Linked DNA regions of Callithrix jacchus. The protein of the gene in region 1 purifies or fractionates together with the protein of each later gene. This does not show direct contact. Links are inferred from orthologs where the notes say so. Each region holds a gene or a part of one and is shown in the gene's direction. Other genes may lie near its edges. The genes, in order: LZTR1 and RIT1.

The links.
Region 2: the proteins of LZTR1 (region 1) and RIT1 purify together in Homo sapiens (affinity purification with mass spectrometry; 3 studies listed by BioGRID and IntAct, counting the BioPlex papers as one, with this or other methods). This does not show direct contact. The link is inferred for Callithrix jacchus from reciprocal best matches to the Homo sapiens genes LZTR1 and RIT1.

Annotation. Positions count from the first base shown.
Region 1 is NC_133502.1:193,119,128-193,129,136, reverse strand, and holds the end of LZTR1 (leucine-zipper-like transcriptional regulator 1), read left to right. Parts: intron 1-427; coding exon 428-520; intron 521-689; coding exon 690-785; intron 786-869; coding exon 870-1,035; intron 1,036-1,329; coding exon 1,330-1,499; intron 1,500-1,640; coding exon 1,641-1,797; intron 1,798-2,119; exon of another isoform or gene 2,120-2,208; intron 2,209-2,494; coding exon 2,495-2,621; intron 2,622-2,710; coding exon 2,711-2,860; intron 2,861-3,452; coding exon 3,453-3,558; intron 3,559-3,644; coding exon 3,645-3,725; intron 3,726-3,992; coding exon 3,993-4,109; 3' UTR 4,110-5,839; downstream 5,840-10,009. Other genes in the region: THAP7 (THAP domain-containing protein 7), read right to left, coding at 7,043-7,595, 7,806-7,946, 8,452-8,774, 8,916-8,999. UniProt on the Homo sapiens protein: Substrate-specific adapter of a BCR (BTB-CUL3-RBX1) E3 ubiquitin-protein ligase complex that mediates ubiquitination of Ras (K-Ras/KRAS, N-Ras/NRAS and H-Ras/HRAS).
Region 2 is NC_133519.1:16,272,023-16,282,530, reverse strand, and holds the start of RIT1 (GTP-binding protein Rit1), read left to right. Parts: upstream 1-4,366; 5' UTR 4,367-4,866; coding exon 4,867-4,874; intron 4,875-4,947; coding exon 4,948-5,096; intron 5,097-5,245; coding exon 5,246-5,302; intron 5,303-9,979; coding exon 9,980-10,053; intron 10,054-10,279; coding exon 10,280-10,471; intron 10,472-10,508. Other genes in the region: KHDC4 (KH homology domain-containing protein 4), read left to right, coding at 764-963.

The DNA of each region.
Region 1 (10,009 bases):
GTGGCTTGTGTTGACAGTCCCTTCCCAGGCCTGGAGGAGCAAGTGGTCAGGGCAGGGACTCACAGCCACAGTGAGGTCAGGGCGGCTTCCTGGAGGAGACTGGGGTGTGCTGGTGGGGGCCAGCATGCGGACACGGGTCCAGGCAGAGTGGAGGCAGCAGAACTCTACTGGGGCCTAACAGAAGGTGGGACTGGTGGGGGAGCCCCTTACCTGCTATGGGGCCATGGACAGTTGCAGGTGCCCAGGCTGAACCCAGGCCATCGCTTCAGGGTGGGGTGGCGGCTGCTTTCTCTCCTTAAGGTGCATCTGCCTCCTGTGCCCTGAGGGTCAGCATGGGCCAGGTAGGGACCTCAGGGTCAGCCTGCGTGGCTATACTGAGGCCACTCTGCCGACCTCAACATCTGGCCTCACTGGGCCCCTCCTGCAGTTCTCCTGTTATCCTAAATGCACGCTGCACGAGGACTATGGGCGGCTGTGGGAGAGCCGTCAGTTCTGCGACGTGGAGTTCGTGCTGGGTGAGGTGGGTGCCTGTCCTCGTGCCCTGCTCCGCCTGCTGTGCCCAGGCAGTGGGAACTTCAGCCCTCAGAAAAACAGCTGCTGGCCCAGTGGTGCCGACCCTGGTCAGCTGGGTCTCTGTTCTCTGGGGTGAGGGTCCCCTGCCTTCTGCCCATGCATCATTCTTTGTGCAGAAGGAGGAGTGCGTGCAGGGCCATGTAGCCATTGTCACAGCGCGGAGCCGCTGGCTTCGCAGGAAGATCACGCAGGCACGGGAGTGGTTGGCCCAGGTGAGGTGCTCACCTGCCCTGTCTTCACCTGACAGCCATGCCTGTTGTCCACTGGGGTGCCCTTGAGCTCCCTTCTCCCCACAGAAGCTGGAGCAGGAGGCCACCCCAGTTCCCAGGGAGGCCCCCAACATGGCTTCGGGTGGGGCCCGGCCGCCCCTGCTGCACGTGGCCATCCGGGAGGCCGAGGCCCGGCCCTTTGAGGTGCTCATGCAATTCCTCTACACCGACAAGATCAAATACCCACGGAAAGGTCCGTCTGGGTGGGGGTGGAGCAGGATTGGTATGGGTTGGGGTGTGGGCAGCAGAGCCAGGAGGTGGGTGCTGCTAACCCTGCCTTACTGATGGGGCCTGAAGCTCGGAGGCTGCGGTGATGAGTGGCACCCTCATCACTCATGATCACTGCAGCTGGTTGCCATCTGAGGCCCCTGAGACCTTGTTCCCACCTGGTGGCCCCAACCCACATTCTTTCATGGGGGGAGCCCTGGGCCCTGGGCCCCACCCTCCCCTTCCTGGCTCCCTGAGACTTGGGGGCTCTGGAGCGCAGGCCACGTGGAGGATGTGCTGCTCATCATGGATGTGTACAAATTGGCGCTGAGCTTCCAGCTGTGCCGCCTGGAGCAGCTGTGCCGCCAGTACATCGAGGCCTCCGTGGACCTGCAGAACGTGCTGGTCGTGTGCGAGAGTGCCGCCCGGCTGCAGCTGAGCCAACTCAAGGTGTGGGGTGAGGTCAGCGCGACCAGGGCTGGGTGGGGTGTGCTCAGGTCTAGGCCCCCTCCCTGCCTACCACTGTGAGTCCCTCACCCTGCCTGAAGCCCTGGCTTGACCCCACCTGCCTGCCTGTGCCTGTCTGCCCAGGAGCACTGTCTGAACTTCGTGGTGAAGGAGTCCCACTTCAACCAGGTGATCATGATGAAGGAGTTCGAGCGCCTCTCCTCCCCACTGATTGTGGAGATTGTGCGGCGGAAGCAGCAGCCGCCTCCTCGTACTCCCTCGGACCAGCCGGTGGACATTGGTAGGAAGCCCCATTCCCCTTCCCTGGGGGCTGGGAGTGATGGTGTTCATCTGTGGCAGGAGACTTGGGAGCCGTAGCACCTGCCAGGCCCTTGGGGTGGGTGCCATGGGACCCCAGAGTGCTCTCCTGGGTATAGGGCAGAAACAGATAGAGGCAGAAGCCCCTGACCCATGGGGCTTGCCACAGTGGGCTGTGTCCTGGTGAGCTGGAATTTCCTGAGCTGATTTCTGGGGGTGGATATGGGGCACCTCTTTCGGGATGTCAGGTCTGATGGCCCAGTCACAATGATCAATCTCTGGACTTTTTGCTTGTAATGTCACAGGCCCCTTCATTCCCCCAGCTCTCCCTGGGGCCTGTGCTGACCCCAGTTGCTGGCTCTTGGTGACATCTGCAGACAACAGAAGCCATGCGGTGGGCCTGGAGGGGGATTGATCATGAGGGCAGCAAGGGGGCACAGCAGGCTGGGTGGAAGATGAGATGCTGGGAGGAGGACTGTGTGTGGGGTGCTCGAGTCGGCCAGGGTGCCAAGGGAGGACAGAATGTGGCTGATGGTGCCTCAGGGCCAGAGTGAAGCCTCCTGCCTGCATGAAGTTTTGTTTAGGGAAGCAACATGGGCAGATGTGCAGGAAGGTAGTGCTGTGGGGCCTCAAGACCAGAATCCCAGGCTGTACCTGCTCAGGGTCCCTCCCACCCCCAGGCACGTCTCTCATCCAGGACATGAAGGCATACCTAGAGGGGGCAGGTGCAGAGTTCTGTGACATCACATTGTTGCTGGATGGGCACCCACGGCCGGCCCATAAGGCCATCCTGGCCGCCCGCTCCAGGTGGGTAGGGCTGGATAGGAGGGGAGGGTGGGCCTGAATGGTGTCTTCATTTCGCTGAGAGCCGGATGTCTTCCACTTGCTGTCTGCAGCTACTTTGAAGCCATGTTCCGGTCCTTCATGCCCGAGGATGGGCAGGTGAACATCTCCATCGGGGAGATGGTGCCCAGCAGGCAGGCCTTCGAGTCCATGCTGCGCTACATCTACTATGGAGAGGTCAACATGCCACCTGAGGACTCGCTGCATCCTCATGCCCCAGGGAACTCCCAGATCCCCACTGACAGGTCCCAGCACCTGCCTTGGGCAGCTTTGAGGCCCCCTGGGTGCCTCAGCACCTCCCTCCAGAGGATTTGCTGGTGCCTGGGGCGGGGCCTGGTGCTCTCTGAAGCAGGTGGCAGCTGGCAGGGAGGGGTTTGCAGCCAGGAGGAACCAGTGGGTTCCTGACCCTCACAATTGCCCAGAGGATGGGGTGGGTTATTGCTTTGTGTGACAGTTGAGCACAGATGTGGTGCTACTAGTCTTATGTCACTTCAGTAGGGGTCTGAACATGGGGGGTCAGGATGCCTGTTAGGCCTTCAAGGTCATGGAACAGTGCTGCAGATGTGCAGACAGTATCTTTCTAGGGAGGGGATTTGCGGTTTTCTTTGGATCTTGAATGAGACCTTTGATCCACTAAGTAATTCAGAATCCATTTAGAGAGCCTGCTGTCGTCTGGGCTGGATTGGAGCGTGGCCTCTAGTGAGCTTGGGACTCCAGCTGTGCGCCTCCCTGTCCTTCCCTGGGAGGGTGTGGGTGGACCAGCTTCCTTTGGTCAGCTCCTTAACCAGGCCCCAGCTACCTGTTTGCGGCCCCCTACTATTACGGCTTCTACAACAACCGGCTGCAAGCGTACTGCAAGCAAAACCTAGAGATGAACGTGACAGTGCAGAATGTGCTGCAGGTAGCCTCCCAGCCCTGTGCCCATGGCTGCAGCTGCTAGTGAGCGGGGGTGAAAGGGGCAGCACCTCAAGGTCCCTGTCGTTGCAGATCCTGGAGGCGGCTGACAAAACCCAGGCACTGGACATGAAGCGGCATTGCCTGCACATCATCGTGCACCAGTTCACCAAGGTCGGGGCTCTGGCCTCCCCTTCAGGACTTGCTTCCTCTTGGTAGTGACCATGCCTGGGCAGGGAGGCGTGCCCAGGCTCTGTGGTCTCCTGCAGTTGTGGGCCCTGGGAGTGAGCGAAATACGAGTAGCTCCCAACTGGCTGCACTTAGCCCCATCCTCGGGACCAGCCTGAGCCCTGAGCAGGGTGGGCCATAGAAGGCTCTGCTGCCCACCCTGGCCCTTATGTGGATCTGGTACCATCTCCTTCTGGCCTGGTTGCCTTGCAGGTCTCCAAGCTGCCCACGCTGCGGTTGCTGAGCCAGCAGCTGCTGCTGGATATCATAGACTCCTTGGCCTCCCACATCTCTGACAAGCAGTGTGCGGAGCTGGGCGCCGACATCTGAGACCCTGTGGCGCCTACCCAGTGTGACGAATTGCCATGCCTGCCTGCCCTGCCCACTAAGAAGACTGTACTGGCCACACACGTGCCTATGGCAGAGTGGGTGCACCTGCCAGGCCAAGGGCACCCAGAGCCTCCAAAGAGAGCTGAGGGGATGTGTGGCCCCAGATGCCTCAATTTACCGAGGACACAGGTTCCACAGGGAGCGGATGATGAAGCAGACCCCGTCCCCTGCTGGCACCCTCTCCTGGTGTAGTGTGGGTGCACGGTCACGGCTCAGTGATGGGGACACCAACCAGAAGTGGGGAGGGATGGGCTTCCCACCCTGTGGAGCTCGGCCTGGCGTCCGAAGCTTGGGTGTATTGTAGACCCAAGCACTGGGGCCTGTCACTAAGGCCCTTCCAACATGCAGAAGGAGGCCTGGCAGAATTGCCCCTACACCAGGGAATCTGTCTGGGCTACTCCTGCCCTGTCCACCCTCACTGAGATCCATGTAAGGGGCTCTTCCTCCCATTGGAACTTGAGTGGGGATTATATGTAGGTCTCACATGACTTGAGGTGAATCTTGGAGTGAAGGGCTCTGAGGTCAGCTCCCAGGTTGGCTGGGCCTGATTTTCACAGGGACTGAAGGATCCCAGCCCCACTGTGTGCATGTCAGGGCTCAGGGCTGGGCCAGGAAGAAGCCAGCAAAGTCCCCTGTGTCCCTCACTGAGTATTCTGTCATAGATAAGCCTTGATTAAAGCCACAGCAGTGCTACCCACCACATACACTTTGCTGGCCTGGCCACCATTGCTGGCCTCAGCCCCTCAGCCTGCCTGCAGCCAAGGACTGGCTCTGTGGCCCATGGCTTGGCAGACCTCCAGATGTAGGTTAGTTGGTCTTACCTGTTTCTAGCTATGCTGTCAACTCCTTTCTCAACCTGGGGTGACCCGGTCACACTGGAGAGAAGAGCTGTGGAGGCCTCCAAGCTGGCCCCTCCCGGGGGAATCCTGGAGTGGGCTCCTGCCCTGTCTTGCCTCTGTACTGTGCTCTTGGCTGCTGTGGTAGGTGGGCTGCCCTCTTGCCCTAGTGAGGACCACATGTGAATCCACTCTGATGCTGGGGAACCAGTGTTCCCTTACTGGGAACAGGATTCCAGGACCCCTTTTTTGGTCATGGCTGCCATGAAGCCATAGCTCACCTTGGGGAAGTGACCTGCTCTTTTCTGGCTTTAGAGTTCATTTTCCTCCTTTGCCTGTGGCTGTGTGCACATGTATGGGGGGCCCTGAGTGGCAAGTTGCTTAGCTAACAGGAGAAATCCATAGGCAGCCCACAGGCTAGGAAGTGGCCTGGTCCAAGATGAGCTGGGAAACAAGGGAGAGCAGGAGCAGGGGCAGGGGCAGAGGCTGAGCCAAAAGGCCCTGTTGTGAGGACACAGAAGCCCAGGGCTATGGCTGGTGGTGGGGGGGATTATGTCAACACATGGAAGTAGAGTGCAGACCAGGGCAGCCAGCCAAGGGGGCCAGGTGTGAGTCACTCAGTGGGGTCACAGAACCACCTACCATTTCCACAAGATGTCTCTTGCCACTCCTACAGGGCAGCTTCCTCCAAACCCCTTCTGGAGGGGCCAGCCCAGAAGCCTCCTTGAACTAGTCTGCAAACCCTGCTCTACGCTGACCTTGTCACTGAACCCTCAATTGTCTTTTCTAGACATGATGTGAATAAATGAAATTACATGTGAAGGGTCCTAAAAAGCAAATTTTACAAAAATTTTTTGGCAGTTTCTGGGACTAAAATGAATTCAGTTGTGTTCCTTGGCAGGGAAAGGCCAAACTTGCAGTGAGAATCATCCCACGCATGGAGCTGTTTGAGAATCAGCTGTGACAAGGCCTTCCAGGTTTCTGGGAGTTGAAGGAAAAGGATGCTGAGGCCAGGACCCAAGTGCTTGTCTACAAGTTCTAGCCACCTCTTCCCAGACTTCCAGGGACTAGAAATGTCACTTGGGTCTTCACTACTTGCTGGCGTGCCCCAGGAGGCTGATCATTGTCATTGTCCGTTTTTTTTTTCTTTTTTTTTTTGAGATGGAGTTTCCCTGTTGTTACCCAGACTGGAGTGCAATGGCACAATCTCGGCTCACTGCAACCTCCGCCTTCTGGGTTCAAGCAATTCTCCTGCCTCAGCTTCCCAAGTAGCTGGGACTACAGGTGCGCACCACCATGCCCAGCTAACTTTTATATTTTTAGTAGAGACGGGGTTTCACCATGTTGACCAGGATGGTCTCGATCTCTTGACCTCGTGATCCACCCGCCTCGGCCTCCCAAAGTGCTGGATTATAGGCGTGAGCCACCGCGCCCGGCCCCGTTTTTCAAATAGAGACAGCAGTGAAGGGAGCAGCGAGGGGGTTGCCCTGTTTACCCACCAGGCAGATGAAGTCTGTGGACAAGCCTGTCATGCACCTGTTTGAGAACTGAATCCAGACTGGGTTTTAGGAGTGTTCTCAAAGGGGCTGGCTGACTTAAATTGGGGCTGTTTCAGATCCTGTGGAAGGGGTGCCTTGAACTGCTTTCCTGGCCCCTACTCACAACATCCTGCCCCCTACTCACAACATCCTGCCCCTTCAGAAAACTGTGGGGCATGGAGCTGCAATGGCTGGCTGCTACCGGTCTACCAGAAGCTCTGAGGGGTGAAAGCCAGGCTTTCTGCTCTCCCTGGCGAAGAGCTTGGACTGAGCTCTTCTGAGAGCAGAGCTGAGAGTGAGCCCTCTGGGAGCTGCAGCCACTGTCTGGGGGCAGCAAGCTTAGTACCCAGAGGGGCTCCAGCCCCCAGCTGAGCCAGACAGCAGGGCCTCCTTCTAGAATCCACTTTATTATGGCACCTGGTGGTTATGGTGGATTCTGAGGGAGAAGGAGGCTGCACCCTTGCTAGGCAGCCCCTCGGTCAGTCCAGTGGCCCCTCCCTCAGGCTATGCTGTTGCTCAGCTGCATGGCAAAGTCCTGTACATGCTCCTTCAGAGTCTGGCGGGCATCTGCCTGTGCCCGCTTCTCCCGTGCCCGCTCCTGCTGCAGCTTGGTCAGTCTCAGCCGCAGCCGCTGCTCCCGTCGCTTGCAGGCCTGCAGCTGGCGCTGGGCCTTGTCGAGGGCATCAAGAGCTGCCTCAGCTCGCCGCTTCCAGAGCAAGGCGCTGCCCACCTGGTAGCTGTGTTCATTCTGGATGTAGGCTCCGGCGGGTGGCGGCAGGCGCAGCATGTAGGCTGAGGGGGAGACTGGCCGTGGCTCGAGAGGGGAGGGCTGTGGCTCTGGTGAAGGCTGGGCACTGCAGCCTGCTTCATCTGCCTGGGCACCCAGGGGGCCCAGAAGGTCTGAAAAGGGGCTGCTAAGGCCAGGCTCCAGCCTCCCAGCTGGGGAGGCTGGCAAAGTGGCAGGTGCTGAGGCCTCTTCCACAGGAAAGCAGGTGACATCAGCAGGTGGAGGTGGAGAAAATGGAGTTGTGGGCCCTCGGCCCTCGGAGCAGCTGGTAAGGGGGAAGAGAGAGGCTGATGGGCTAGGCTGAGGGCCTGCCAGACCCCACTCCACCAGCCCACCTAACCCCCCAACACCCAAACCTGATCCACAGGTTCTGTGCAGCAAGAACCCTGTCCGGCTAGACTGCTGGCAGATGACCCAGAGCCCAGTCCCTTGGCCTAGGGGTGGGAGTGGGGCTTTCCCCACCAGTACCACATACCGCTTCCTGCATCGCCTGAGCCGGGTGACTTCAGTGGGACCAGATGGGTAACTGTGCCCCTTGGTCTTGGATGTCCGGCGCAACTTGGAGAAAGACTCGAATATGGTGGGGACTGCTCCCTCCTTTAGCCTGTGATACCCGCTGTGGGGAAAAGCAGCCCAGATGAGCTGGAGAGCAAGTGCTGCCTCCCCGAGCCAATGTACCCCCGGCACCCTGGAACAGCTTCCCCAGCACTAGCGCCGTGGGAGGCTGGAAAGCATCGTGCAAACAGTAAGTCTCAGGGATGCCAAGTTAGAGCTACACCAATCGCTTCCCTGCAGTACTCCTCAAAGTCGAGGTGTGTGGAAAGCCTGCACAAGCAGAGCTGGGCTGACCTGCCAAAAAGAATTCTTTGATTTGTGGACTCGCTGGCAGGACTGGGGCTCTGAAGAACACTCTCTGGAAAGGCTCATGTTTTTCCCTTGTGTCACTGGCAGTGATCCTGGGGGAGGGTTTCATTGTACAGAGCTCGGAAGAGGATACAGACCCCTTGGAAGCAGGTCGGCCTGCCTGGCAGGCTGCTCAAGGGACTTCCAGGACCTGCAGCTGCCCCAATCCGCCTGAAGCTCCACATCCTACCCCAATGTTGGCTGGCAGGGAGGCCCACCTGATTCCCACCAGCTCAAAGCAGTTCTCCTCAAAGTGTTTGGAGCAGAAGTAGATGTACTCGGATGCTGGGTCCCACAGGCCCTGGCCGCTGGGGTCCAGCCGCTGGCAGTTGGCCAGCCACAAGCCTCGCCTCGGGTTGTCCTTCTTGGGAAGTCTGTGGAGCCACAAACCCATGAGCAGTAGACTGTCCGCAGCCCTGGGCTCATGCTGCCCAAGCTCCCCGCTGGGGAAAAGCAGACCCAACACGCACCGCCACGAGACCTCCCTGCGACCCCGCCGGGTAAGCACCACCCGCCCGGGCACAGACGAAGCAATGGAGGCCTAGAGAAGAAAAGCAGTTTGCTCAGCGTCATCTGGCAGGTAAGAGTCAGAGCGGGGCAGGTCCGAGGCTAGACTTCCCGTTCTCCCCTTCCCGACAGCACTTGGTCCCACTGGGACCATCCCGCTTCACTTCCCACCCACAGGTTCAAGGTTCCTCAGGACCCGAGAAAGGCGCGAAGCGTCTACACAGTTGCGGCCCAACGAGGCGCGCAGCAACCAGCGCATGCGCACGTCAGCCCGCGCACGCGCGCCGACCTGTGGAAGGAGATGCCGCGGCTGCGCGTCTCGCGCGTGTCCCGTGTGCAGCAGCCGGCGGCGGAGCAGTGACGCGGCATCTAGGGAAGAGGCGGGAGTTAAGTCGCGAGTGGCTGTCTGGGGATCCAGAGGAGCCTCGCGCCTTCAGCCGCCGCTCCTCCCCAGGGGGGTTCTGGCCCGTGGAGTCTACCCCGGCTCCCGGCTTGTTCTCGCCCCACCCAGTCCCAGCCGGTTCTCTAGACTCCCGTCAGCAGCACTCACGATCTGTCCATTGCTGCGCCGCCGAAGTCTCGCGAGGGGTGGCGCGCGCCGGAAGTTGGTACCATAGAGACTGGAAAGTCGGCGGTGCTCCGCCCTTAGGGCGGGGCGGGGCGGGGCGAAGTCCTATTGAGTTGGATTCGGAAGCGGTGCGAGCGTGCGAGTTCTAGTCGCGCCTGCGTCGTCTCCGTTCCCAGACTACCAGTGTTGTCACACACGTGGGCTCCTCTTTCGTCCGTTCAGGGCTCACTCTTCTCTGTAAACACCCCGGCACGATGGAGCGACCCCAGTGTACGGGTCGGCCTGGGAGCGGATGGCGGCGGTGCCCTGGGAACCTCGAAAGCCGCGGGGGCGACAGCTCGCCTCGGAAAGACTTGACTGAAGAAAGAAAACGGGGCCTGGGACGCTTGCCCAAGAGAACCTGACAGAAACCAGAGCCTGCACTCACTGCCGAGTACCGGGGGACTTGAGGGAGGGCGAGGAATGCCCCAGACTACACTGGGGACGTGCGCTGGGCAGGAGGTTTCATTGTAGCCACTTTGGGGGCGTGACGGAGTCGGGAAGAAGCTGAGGATGCGGGTGGAAAGGTAGCGTCAGGAACTGCAGTGCTCAGCCTGCGGAGTCCTTGGACACATGATCCGGCGGGCTGCCTAACCTGAGCCCTCACCTCTTCCCCTAAGACTCAGTGAAAATAGCCACTCCATTTAAGGACTTCAGAAGGT
Region 2 (10,508 bases), on another chromosome or scaffold:
TTGAGACTGTCTCAACTAAAAAAGAAAATAGTGAAAAAAACTTGTATATGGACAACCATTTATTCCAACCAACATGCGTCTAGGAAAGGGCTAGTCAACTTATTTTATACATAGCATCAGTGACATTAAAACCCTAGGGAATACTAATGAGTGCTAGGTCATATCAAAATCCTGTTGCCTATGTTGTGTGAATACCTGGAGTTAATCTGATACGGACTTCCTAAAAGTTGATTTTGCTTTGTATTGGGAGCTGAGCCACACCTCCCCTTATAGTTCTCTTGGTCAATCTGTGGCTGTTAGGAAAGTACTGCTTTTTAGCATCCCAGAACTCTAAATCCTATAGACGGATATGGAATATTTTTGTTCTTTGCCTGTAGTCATAAAAATGAACAGAAGAAAATTCACGTTTTTTTCTTTTCTTCTTTTCTTTTAACTCTTTAAAAGGTGAAATATCAGCCCTCAAGAGACTCACTTGCTAACTTTCCTTTTTTTCTTTTTTCTTTTTTTTGTGTTTCTTTTTTCTTTCTCTGTTTTCTTACATGGTTCTGGTGGATTCACATTTGCTGATGCCGGTGCTGTTTTTCGTGTGATCTTCAACGGTTTTGGGCGACCACTGACCCTATGACCTCAAAATGGTGTCCAACTAACCACTTAAAATTAACATCTTTTTTTTATTAACGAATTTATGGTATTATCTTTTTTTGTTGTTTTTTTTTTTTTCCCTTGGTGGGGATGGGGTTGGGGTTGTTTTTCTCTATTCTAGATTATCCAGCCAAGAAGATGAAAACTACAGAGAAGGGATTTGGCTTGGTGGCTTATGCTGCAGATTCATCTGATGAAGAGGAGGAACATGGAGGTCATAAAAATGCAAGTAGTTTTCCACAGGGCTGGAGTTTGGGATACCAGTATCCTTCATCACAACCACGAGCTAAACAACAGATGCCATTCTGGATGGCTCCCTAGGAAACTGTGGAACAGAGTTTTGACCCTCGGTGACTCTTCTTAGCAATAATGCATGCATTTGATTTAACAAGACTCTGGGGCCTGTGCTGGGAACCATCTTGGATCTTTGCAGAAGTTAGAGATTCAATGCCCCCTTTCTTAAAGGGGTTCCTTAAAAAAAAAAATCCTTATTTCTGCGGTGGCATAGAATCTTAAAATTTAATTAGAATCATAAATTTATCTCAGAAGCTTTTTAACAGTTGGTGAAACGTGCTTGTCCAACAAAGCGTCCTAAAACAGGGTCGTTCCCATACACGTTTGACCTGGTCCAGCCTCTTCCAAATGAATAGCCCCAATTCTGACTTAAAGAAAGTTTTATTTGTATTTTAGTACTGTTTGGTCAATTTTGATACATAACTGGTTACAAAGCCTTACTGTTTATTAATGGGAAATGATTTTAGACCGTTCTTTTTGGTATTTAATTCTGACAGATCTGCATCCCTGTTTTGTTTTGGATTATTTCTGTTTTGGAAAATGCTGTCTCATTTAAAACTGTTGGATATAGCTGGATCCTGGATAGGAAAATGAAGTTATTTTTTTCATTGTGTTTTTTAATTGGGGTGATCCAAAGCCGGCACCTTCAGACACATTTGTCTTATAGCCATTGCTGTTTTTATTGCCCTTCTAAGATCCTGTCTTCAGCTGGGTCAGAGAAAACAAGAATTCTTGACTAGAACTGGTCAGAACTCATCACACAAATGAAACACAGTAGTCTGTCTCTCTCAGAACTGTTTGCAGCTAAAATGGAGAGATCTGACTGCCTGCAGTAGGACTTTGGACTTAATGACTGAAATTGCAACTTGTCCTTTTTCTTGGCATTACAGGTTTTGCCAAAAGAACTTTTTTGTATCAAATCTTGATGTGTGAAAGTGAAGGAGCTAGTCTGCTGAACCAGGAGTAGTTTGAGATACTGAACTGTCATTTTTGCACATTTGAATACTTTGCAGGCTGGCTTTGTATAAACTTACCCTCTGGTTTCCTATATGTTGTAAATATTGAGACCATAATTTCATTATAAATAAATGTATAAATATTCTGTTTGCGGTTTCTCTGTTTTCTTCCACAACCCATCCATACACTAAAATTCATAAACTTGTTTACTCATAGCCTAATGCAATATAATATCAGAAAAATACATATACAGACCCCAAGATTTACATTTAGTTCCGAGAGTTCTGTAACTGCAAAATGTACACTTAAAGTTCCATTTTCATATTTTAGCCCTCCTTAATTAAACAGACTGTTAAAGAGACTTCATGGGCCGGGCGTGGTGGCTCACACCTGTAATCCCAGCACTTAGGGAGGCCAGGGTGGGTGGATCACGAGGTCAAGAGATTGAGACCATCTTGGTCAACATGGTGAAACCCCGTCTCTACTAAAAATACAAAAAACTTAGCTGGGCGTGGTGGCGCGTGCCTGTAATCCCAGCTACCCAGGAGGCTGAGGCAGAAGAATTGCCTGAACCCAGGAGGCGGAGGTTGCGGTGAGCCAAGATCGTGCCATTGCACTCCAGCCTGGGTAACAAGAGTGAAACTCCGTCTCAAAAAAAAAAAGACTTCATGAATGAAGCCTATTTTATTTTATTTTTGAGATGGAGTCTCGCTCTGTTGCCCAGGCTAGAGTGCAGTGGCACGATCTTGGTTCACTGAAACCTCTGCCTCCTGGGTTCAAGCGATTCTCACCTCAGCCTCCTGAGTAGCTGGGATTACAGGCACGCGCCACCACACCCAGCTAATTTTTGTATTTTTAGTAGACGGGGTTTCACCATGTTAGGCTGGTCTCAAACTCCTGACCTCATAATCCACGTGCTTTGGCCTCCCAAAGTGCTGGGATTACAGGCGTGAGCCACCACACCTGGCCCTGTTTTATTTATTTTTTTTGAGACGGAGTTTCACTCTAGTTACCCAGGCTGGAGTGCAATGGCGCAATCTTGGCTCACTGCAACCTCTGACTCACAGGTTCAAGCAATTCTGCCTCAGCCTCCTGAGTAGCTCGGATTACAGGTGCAAGCCACCATGCCCCACTAATTTTGTATTTTTATAGAGATGGGGTTTCTCCAATTGGATAGGCTAGTCTCCAACTCCTGACCTCAGGTGATCTGCCCTCAGCCTCCCAAAGTGTTGGGATTTACAGGTGTGAGCTACCTCGCCCAGTGAATGAAGCAGATTTTAAAGGAAATAGATTACTCTTGGAAAGCCTTTTTATTTTTTGAGATGGAGTCTTGCTGTGTCGGCTAGGCTGGAGTGCAATGGTGCAGCCTTGGTTCACTGCAACCTCTGCCTCCCGAGTGATTCTCCAATGTCAGCCTCCTGAGTAGCTGAGATTACAGGTACCTACCCCATGCCTGGCTAATTTGTATTTTTAGTACAGACAGGATTCCACCATATTGGCCAGGCTGGTCTCGAGCTCTGGACCTCAAGTGATCCGCCCAGAAAGACTTTTTTTTTTGGAAACCCGAGTCTTGCCCTGTTGCAAGGGTGGAGTGCAGTGGCTCGATCTAGGCTCACTGCAACATCCACCTCCTGTGAGTAATTGGGACTACAGGCATGTGCCACCATGCCCTGCTAATTTTTTTGTATTTTTAGTCGAGGGGGGGTTTCGCTATTTTGGCCAGGATAGTTGATCTCTTGATCTTGTGATCCACCTGCCTTGGCCTCTCAAAGTGCTGGGATTACAGGCGTTAGCCACCGTACCTGGCCCAGAAAGACATTTAAAAATAACAGTTGTGGGAGCGAGGGTGGGGGATGATAAAACAGTTGTGGACAGAGCTGCATCAGAACAATTTTCCATTGTCAGTTTCTTCTAGCATCTGTGCTACCTAAATAGTCTGTTTAAAACAAGGTTTTGTGTATCTTATATGTGTTTAAAATATAGAACTCTGGTTAGGAAGTGTGAAATCTAGTTTTTGAGAATGAATCGAGGTTTCAATAGCCAAAGTCTTTGTGGCTGCTCCTTTGGGAAAGTGATTTTTCTGCTATGAAGCATTTATCTTGATCCCAATCCTGTGTTAGGAGGATTTGGGGAGTGCCCCTTTCCTCACTTCCTCTTAACTGTATTATGCCAAATTAGTTTCGTTTTGTTTCACAAGCAGCAAACAACTCTGGGTAAGTTGTTAACGTTTTTAGTGTCCCTGCATGTCTGTTATCACTTACTCTTTGGTTTTGTGTAAATAATTTACTTTCTACTCCTGATTACCCATGTCTGTGTGTGCATACACCCTAGGCTGGATAGGTGACCAGAAGGCCTTTAGCGGTGAGTCCCGGAACTGGGTTTAGGGACCTGGGGTGGGAAGGGATGGGAAGAGGCGGGAAGAAGGCGGGGCAGGCTGTGGGGCGTCATGGGGCGGCCCCGCCCCTCCATCAGCGACGGGCGCCAGTGGCGCCATCTTACCCAGCTGCGGGAGGGGTCACAGGTCAGTACTGGATCCTCTGCGAGGGAAGGAAGACGAGGTGGGTGACCCGACAGGCCGTGGTCTTCCAGGCCCCACTGACCCGCAGGAGCAGTAGGGCATCGGCTTGTGAGGCAGAGGGGTGGGGAGTCTGGTGGCGGAGGAGCAGCTGGGGGCCGGGATGGGTCTCAGAGGAGAATGGGGAGGGGGTGGAACCTCCGGGTACCTCGGACGTGAGAGGACCCCTGTGGCTTAAGGGGCCGCATCCTTTTCTTCCCAAAACTTTCGGTTTATCCCTACTGTGCCGGGATCTAAATTTCTTTGTATCTTTTTATGTTTCTCCTTGGAAAAAGTAAAACCTGTGATATGTCATGTGACTGAACTGTCTAGGAGGGAGGGTGAAGATTTGGGGGGTTTCTTAGAGCCACCAGAAAGGGTGCAGTTCCGGTGAGCAAGAGGGACAGGCCAGCGTATGTATGGAAAGGTAAGGCACTGGTTTGAGGACTGCCGCCGTGGTGTCTCCATCCTGGATTAAGCATTTCCTCCTCCTTTTCTAGGTGGCTTTTCCTCGGGGCAGCCCAGGAAGGCCCCAAGAGGACAATGGATTCTGGAACTCGCCCTGTTGGTAGCGGCTGCAGCAGCCCCCCTGGGCTCTCACGGGAATACAAACTAGTGATGCTGGGTGCTGGTGGTGTAGGGAAGAGTGGTAGGTAACATTTTCCATTTGACAGGAAGTATGGATGAAAAGTACTTAAATGATCAGATGGGATACTGGCTATCTTGCAGTGTTAATACTTAAAATTCTCTCTATGGGTCACCTTTGTGAGGATTTGACTTTTATGTCTTGTGTTGAAGCCATGACCATGCAGTTCATCAGTCACCGATTCCCAGAAGATCATGATCCCACCATTGGTAAGTAAGATCATCACTCTGTTTCCAAATTACCCCATAAAAATATCTTAATTAATATCAATGGTTTCTAACTATTTATATTTTGAGCCTTTTTTTGGAGTCTAATTCTGATTTATTTAGAAACAAGGGTATCAGCAGTTGGTAAGCAAGTGAATATTTCTTTTTTTCCAGACTTAACTCTATATGTCATAAGCCATCTTTATTTAGTCTCTGTCTCTTATTGAACATTAATGGGACAACTCTCTTTGTTGTATTTTTTTATGGTTGTATAGAGGCCACTTAACGAAGCTTTTTCTTGCTGTCACTTCTCTAAGGGCATGACTTGAGACTGACTCTGTAACTGTGAGTCAGCTGGTTTGAACTTCCACAAAAGGAAGCAGAAAAACAAGTAGAGCCAGCCTGCTGAACTCTGACAACCCAGATGAGCAGAGCCTGGAGGTCTTGCACTTGGAGCTCTTCATTTGCTTCCTTATATCTTAAGTTCATCGTATAGTAATGCCTTCTCCCATATCTTTTTCTTTTCTTTTTTTTTTTTTTTTTTGAGACAGAGTCTCCCACTGTCACCCAGGCTGGAGTGCGGTGGCATGATCTCTTCTGGGTTCAAGATTCTCCTGCCTCAGCCTCCTGAGTAGCTGGGATTACAGGTGCCTGCCACCACCACTGCCCAGTTAATTTTATTTATTTTTATTTATTTATTTATGTATTTATGTATTTATTTTTTGAGGCGGAGCTTCGCTGTTGTTACCCAGACTGGAGTGCAATGGCGCCATCTCAGCTCACCACAACCTCTGCCTTCTGGGTTCAAGCAATTCTCCTGCCTCAGCCTCCTGAGTAGCTGGGACTACAGGCGTGTGCCACGATGCCCAGCTAATTTTTGTATTTTTAGTAGGGACGGGGTTTCACCATGTTGACCAGGATGGTCTCGATCTCTTGACCTCGTGATCCACCTGCCTCGGCCTCCCAAAGTGCTGGGATTATAGTCGTGAGCCACCACGCCCAGCCCCTTATTTATTTTTTTGAGACGGAATTTCGCTCTTGTTACCCAGGCTTGAGTGCAATGGCACGATCTTGGCTCACCGCAACCTCCACATCCTGGGTTCAGGCAATTCTCCTGCCTCAGCCTCCTGAGCAGCTGGGATTACAGGCACACGCCACCATGCCCAGCTAATTTTTTGTATTTTTAGTAGAGACGGGGTTTCACCATGTTGACCAGGATGGTCTTGATCTCTTGTCCTCGTGATCCACCTGCCTCAGCCTCCCAAAGTGCTGGGATTATAGGCATGAGCCACCGTGCCCAGCCCTAATTTTTTTGTATTTTTAAGAGATGGAGTTTGACTGTGTTGGCCAGGCTGGTCTTGAACTCCTGACCTCATGATCTGCCTGCCTCGGCCTCCCAAAGTGCTGGGATTACAGGCATGAGCCACTGCACCCGGCCTTCCTGTCTTTTATAGCCTTTAACTTTTTTTTTTTTTTTTTTTTGAGATGGGGTTTTGTTCTTCTTGCCCAGGCTGGAGTGCAATGGCAGGATCTCAGCTCACTCCAACCTCTGCCTTCCATGTTCAAGTGATTCTACTACCTCAGCTTCCCAAGTAGCTGGGATTAAAAGCATGCACCACCACTCCTGGCTAACTTTGTATTTTTAACAGAGATAGGTTTCTCCATGTTGGTCAGGCAGGTCTCAAACTCCTGACCTCAGGTGATCGACCCATCTTGGCCTCCCAAAGTGCTGGGATTACAGGCATGAGCCACCGCACCCAGTCGATAGTCGTTAACTCTTGATGCAGAATGCTAGTGGAGTAAAAATGTCATTTTGTTTGCTCTGACTTTTTGTTTTTTTAATTGCTAGTCTCTACAAAGAGTAAGGACATTACTGTCATTCCTAAACCATAAGGAAGCAGGTGTGCTCCTAAGAGTTTATATTCTAATATGACAGAAAAATGGATATGGGAATGGGAGAGGGCACAGAAAGTCAGCTATACTACTATTATTTTCAGTATGTGACACTCTTTGCCATGATCCTAGTTCTCTAGGAAGGATTTCCATTGGGTTAGGCCTCTGCTGCTCTGTTTCCCACAGAGCCGATAATGTTTTGCGGTGGCCCAGCCTTGGATGTGGTCATTTTATACATTAGATGATTCCAGGGATTGGGAAAAATAGAAGAAGTTCTTGACTTTTTCATGTACTATATCAAATTTAGAACATTGTTCAGAGATTTAAATTATGGTGGGAGTTCTAGGAATAAATGAATTTAGGGCTTATGATAATTTACTTGAGAACTCCAGAAGCATCTTTTCCCTTCTTTAAAGTAAAGCTCATATACTCATCTCCTGTAAGAGTTACGTTTGTTTTTGTTTTTTTTTGAGACGGAGTTTTGCTCTTGTTACCCAGGCTGGAGTGCAATGGTGCGATCTCGGCTCACCGCAACCTCCACCTTCTGGGTTGAGGCAATTCTCCTGCCTCAGCCTCCTGAGTAGCTGGGATTACAGGCACACGCCACTATGCCCAGCTAATTTTTTGTATTTTTAGTAGAGACGGGGTTTCACCACGTTGACCAGGATGGTCTTGATCTCTTGACCTCGTGATCCACCCGCCTCGGCCTCCCAAAGTGCTGGGATTACAGACGTGAGCCACTGCGCCCAGCTTGTTTTTGTTTTTGTTTTTGTTTTTGAGACATAGTCTCACATTGTTGCCCAGGCTGGAATGCAGTGGTGCAATTTCTGCTCCCTGCAACCTCCACCTCCCGGGTTCAAAGATCATCCTGACTCAGCCTCCTGAATAGCTGGGATTACAGGTGCCTGCCACCATGCCCAACTAATTTTTATATTTTTATTAGAGACAGGGTTTCACTATAATGGCCAGGCTGGTCTCGAACTCCTGACCTCGTGATCCATCCATCTCAGCCTCCCAAAATGCTGGGATTACAGGCATGAGCCATCATGCCCAGCCCAAATTATCTGTCTTAATCAATTTTCCCCCAGTTAACTACTTTCCTGACAATATTATCTGACTCAACAGCACATACTTATGTCTTCTGAGTTTCTGTTACGTACCAAGGACTGCTTAGCCTGTGGGTACAGTGGTGAACAAAAAGATGCGGTTTCTGTTCTTGAGTTTATAGTTTAGTGCATTTGGTTTCAAACTCTGGCTGTATACTCAGAAAAACTTTACATCATAACTAGTAGAGATATAAAAGCATACAAGGCCTAGCGTGGTGGCTCATGCCTGTAATCCTGTAATCGCATTACTTTTGGGAGGCCAAGGCGGGCAGATCACCTGAGGTCAGGAGTTTGAGACCATACTGGCCAACATGGTGAAACCCCATTTCTACTAAAAATACAAAAATTAGCTGGGTGTGGTAGCACACACCTGTAATCCCAGGTACTCAGGAAGCTGAGGTGGGAGAATTGCTTGAACCCAGGAGGTGGAGGTTGCAGTGACCCAAGGTCGCACAACTGTACTCCGGCCTGGGCAACAGAGTAAGACTCTGTCTCAAAAAAAAAAAAAAAGTATATGAATGTGTGCATATGTATGTATTAAATTATATATACAATTATATATACAAGTATACGTGTATATGTAACTAAAATATTACGTAACTTTAACCTCTTTTTCTTTTCTTTCTTTTGAGGCAGGGATTCACTCTGTTGCCCAGGCTGGAGTGCAGTGGTGTGATCTTGGCTCACTGCAGCCTGGACCTCCTGGGTTCAAGTGATCCTCCCACCTCAGCTTCCCAAATACCTGGGACTACAGGCTTGTGCCACTACACCCAGCTAATTTTGTTTTTTTTAGTAGACATGAGGTCTCGCTCTGTTGCCCAGGCTGGTCTTGAACTCTTGAGCTCAAGTGATCTCCCCTTGCCCTCCCAAAGCACTGGGATTACAGCCATGAGAGCCCCTGTACCTGACCCACTGTGGGTCTTTTTTTTTTTTTTCTCCTGAGACAGAGGCTTGCTCTGTTGCCAGGCTGGAGTGCAGTGGCACAGTCTCGGCTCACTGCAACCTCCGCCTCCCGAGTTCAAGTGATCCTTCCACCTCAGCCTCCCAAGTACCTGGGACTACAGGCGTACGCCACCACACCCAACTAATTTTTGTATTTTTGGTAGAGATGGGGTTTCACCATGTTAGCCAGGATGGTCTCGATCTCTTGACCTCATGATCCTCCCTCCTCTGCCTCCCAAAGTGCTGGGATTACAAGCGTGAGCCACCACGCCCAGCCCACTCTGGTATTTTCTACTTTTATTAAGTTTCTGCTTGTTTATTTGAATGCTGGTCTCAGCCCATTAAGTAGATTTCACAACTCACTAATCCTAAGGAATTATTGAGAAGCATTGATTTAGTTGGCTCTTCATCTTTGAAGAAGAGTCAGAAGCAAGAATTCAAGAAAAAATGTTAAAAGGAAATACATTGAGATGTAAATAGTTGTTAAGTGAATAAAATGTTGAGTGGTGTTTTCTAAGGTTACTATAATAATATACATAAAGAAATTTGCTTTCAGAAAAGAGAAATTACAAAACTGTCGATTATTTAGAATATAGTGAATTAGGCTGGGCATGCTTCCTGAGAAAATTTGGGCATTTAATGAATTTGGGTTGAATCTACTACTCTGTAAAATGAGTTTTAAATTGGCATTTCTTCCTGCATTTATGACTTTATAGTACACCTTTCTTCCCTCCTGTAGAAGATGCTTATAAAATCAGGATCCGTATTGATGATGAGCCTGCCAATCTGGACATTTTGGATACAGCTGGACAGGTATTAAATCCCAGAATGTTATAAGTAAATGCTTTTTTACTCTAGTAGAGGGGAGGGGAAGGCCTATACAGAGAAGATCACTAGTTTATCTCTTAATTTTTCATGCACTCTGACTCAGGACAGCAGGTAATTGACATGCATTTTTAAAAATCTGAAATAAATAGCTAATTGTGTGTGTAGTAGTGCTAGGTTGCATCAGTACATAATGACGCTTGTTTCCCTATAGGCAGAGTTTACAGCCATGCGGGACCAGTATATGAGGGCAGGAGAAGGGTTTATTATCTGTTACTCTATCACTGATCGTCGAAGTTTCCATGAAGTTCGTGAGTTTAAACAGCTTATTTATCGAGTTCGACGTACTGATGATACACCTGTGGTTCTTGTGGGAAACAAGTCAGACCTCAAACAGCTAAGACAGGTGAGGATAGAGAGGAAAATACTGTCTATAATCTTGT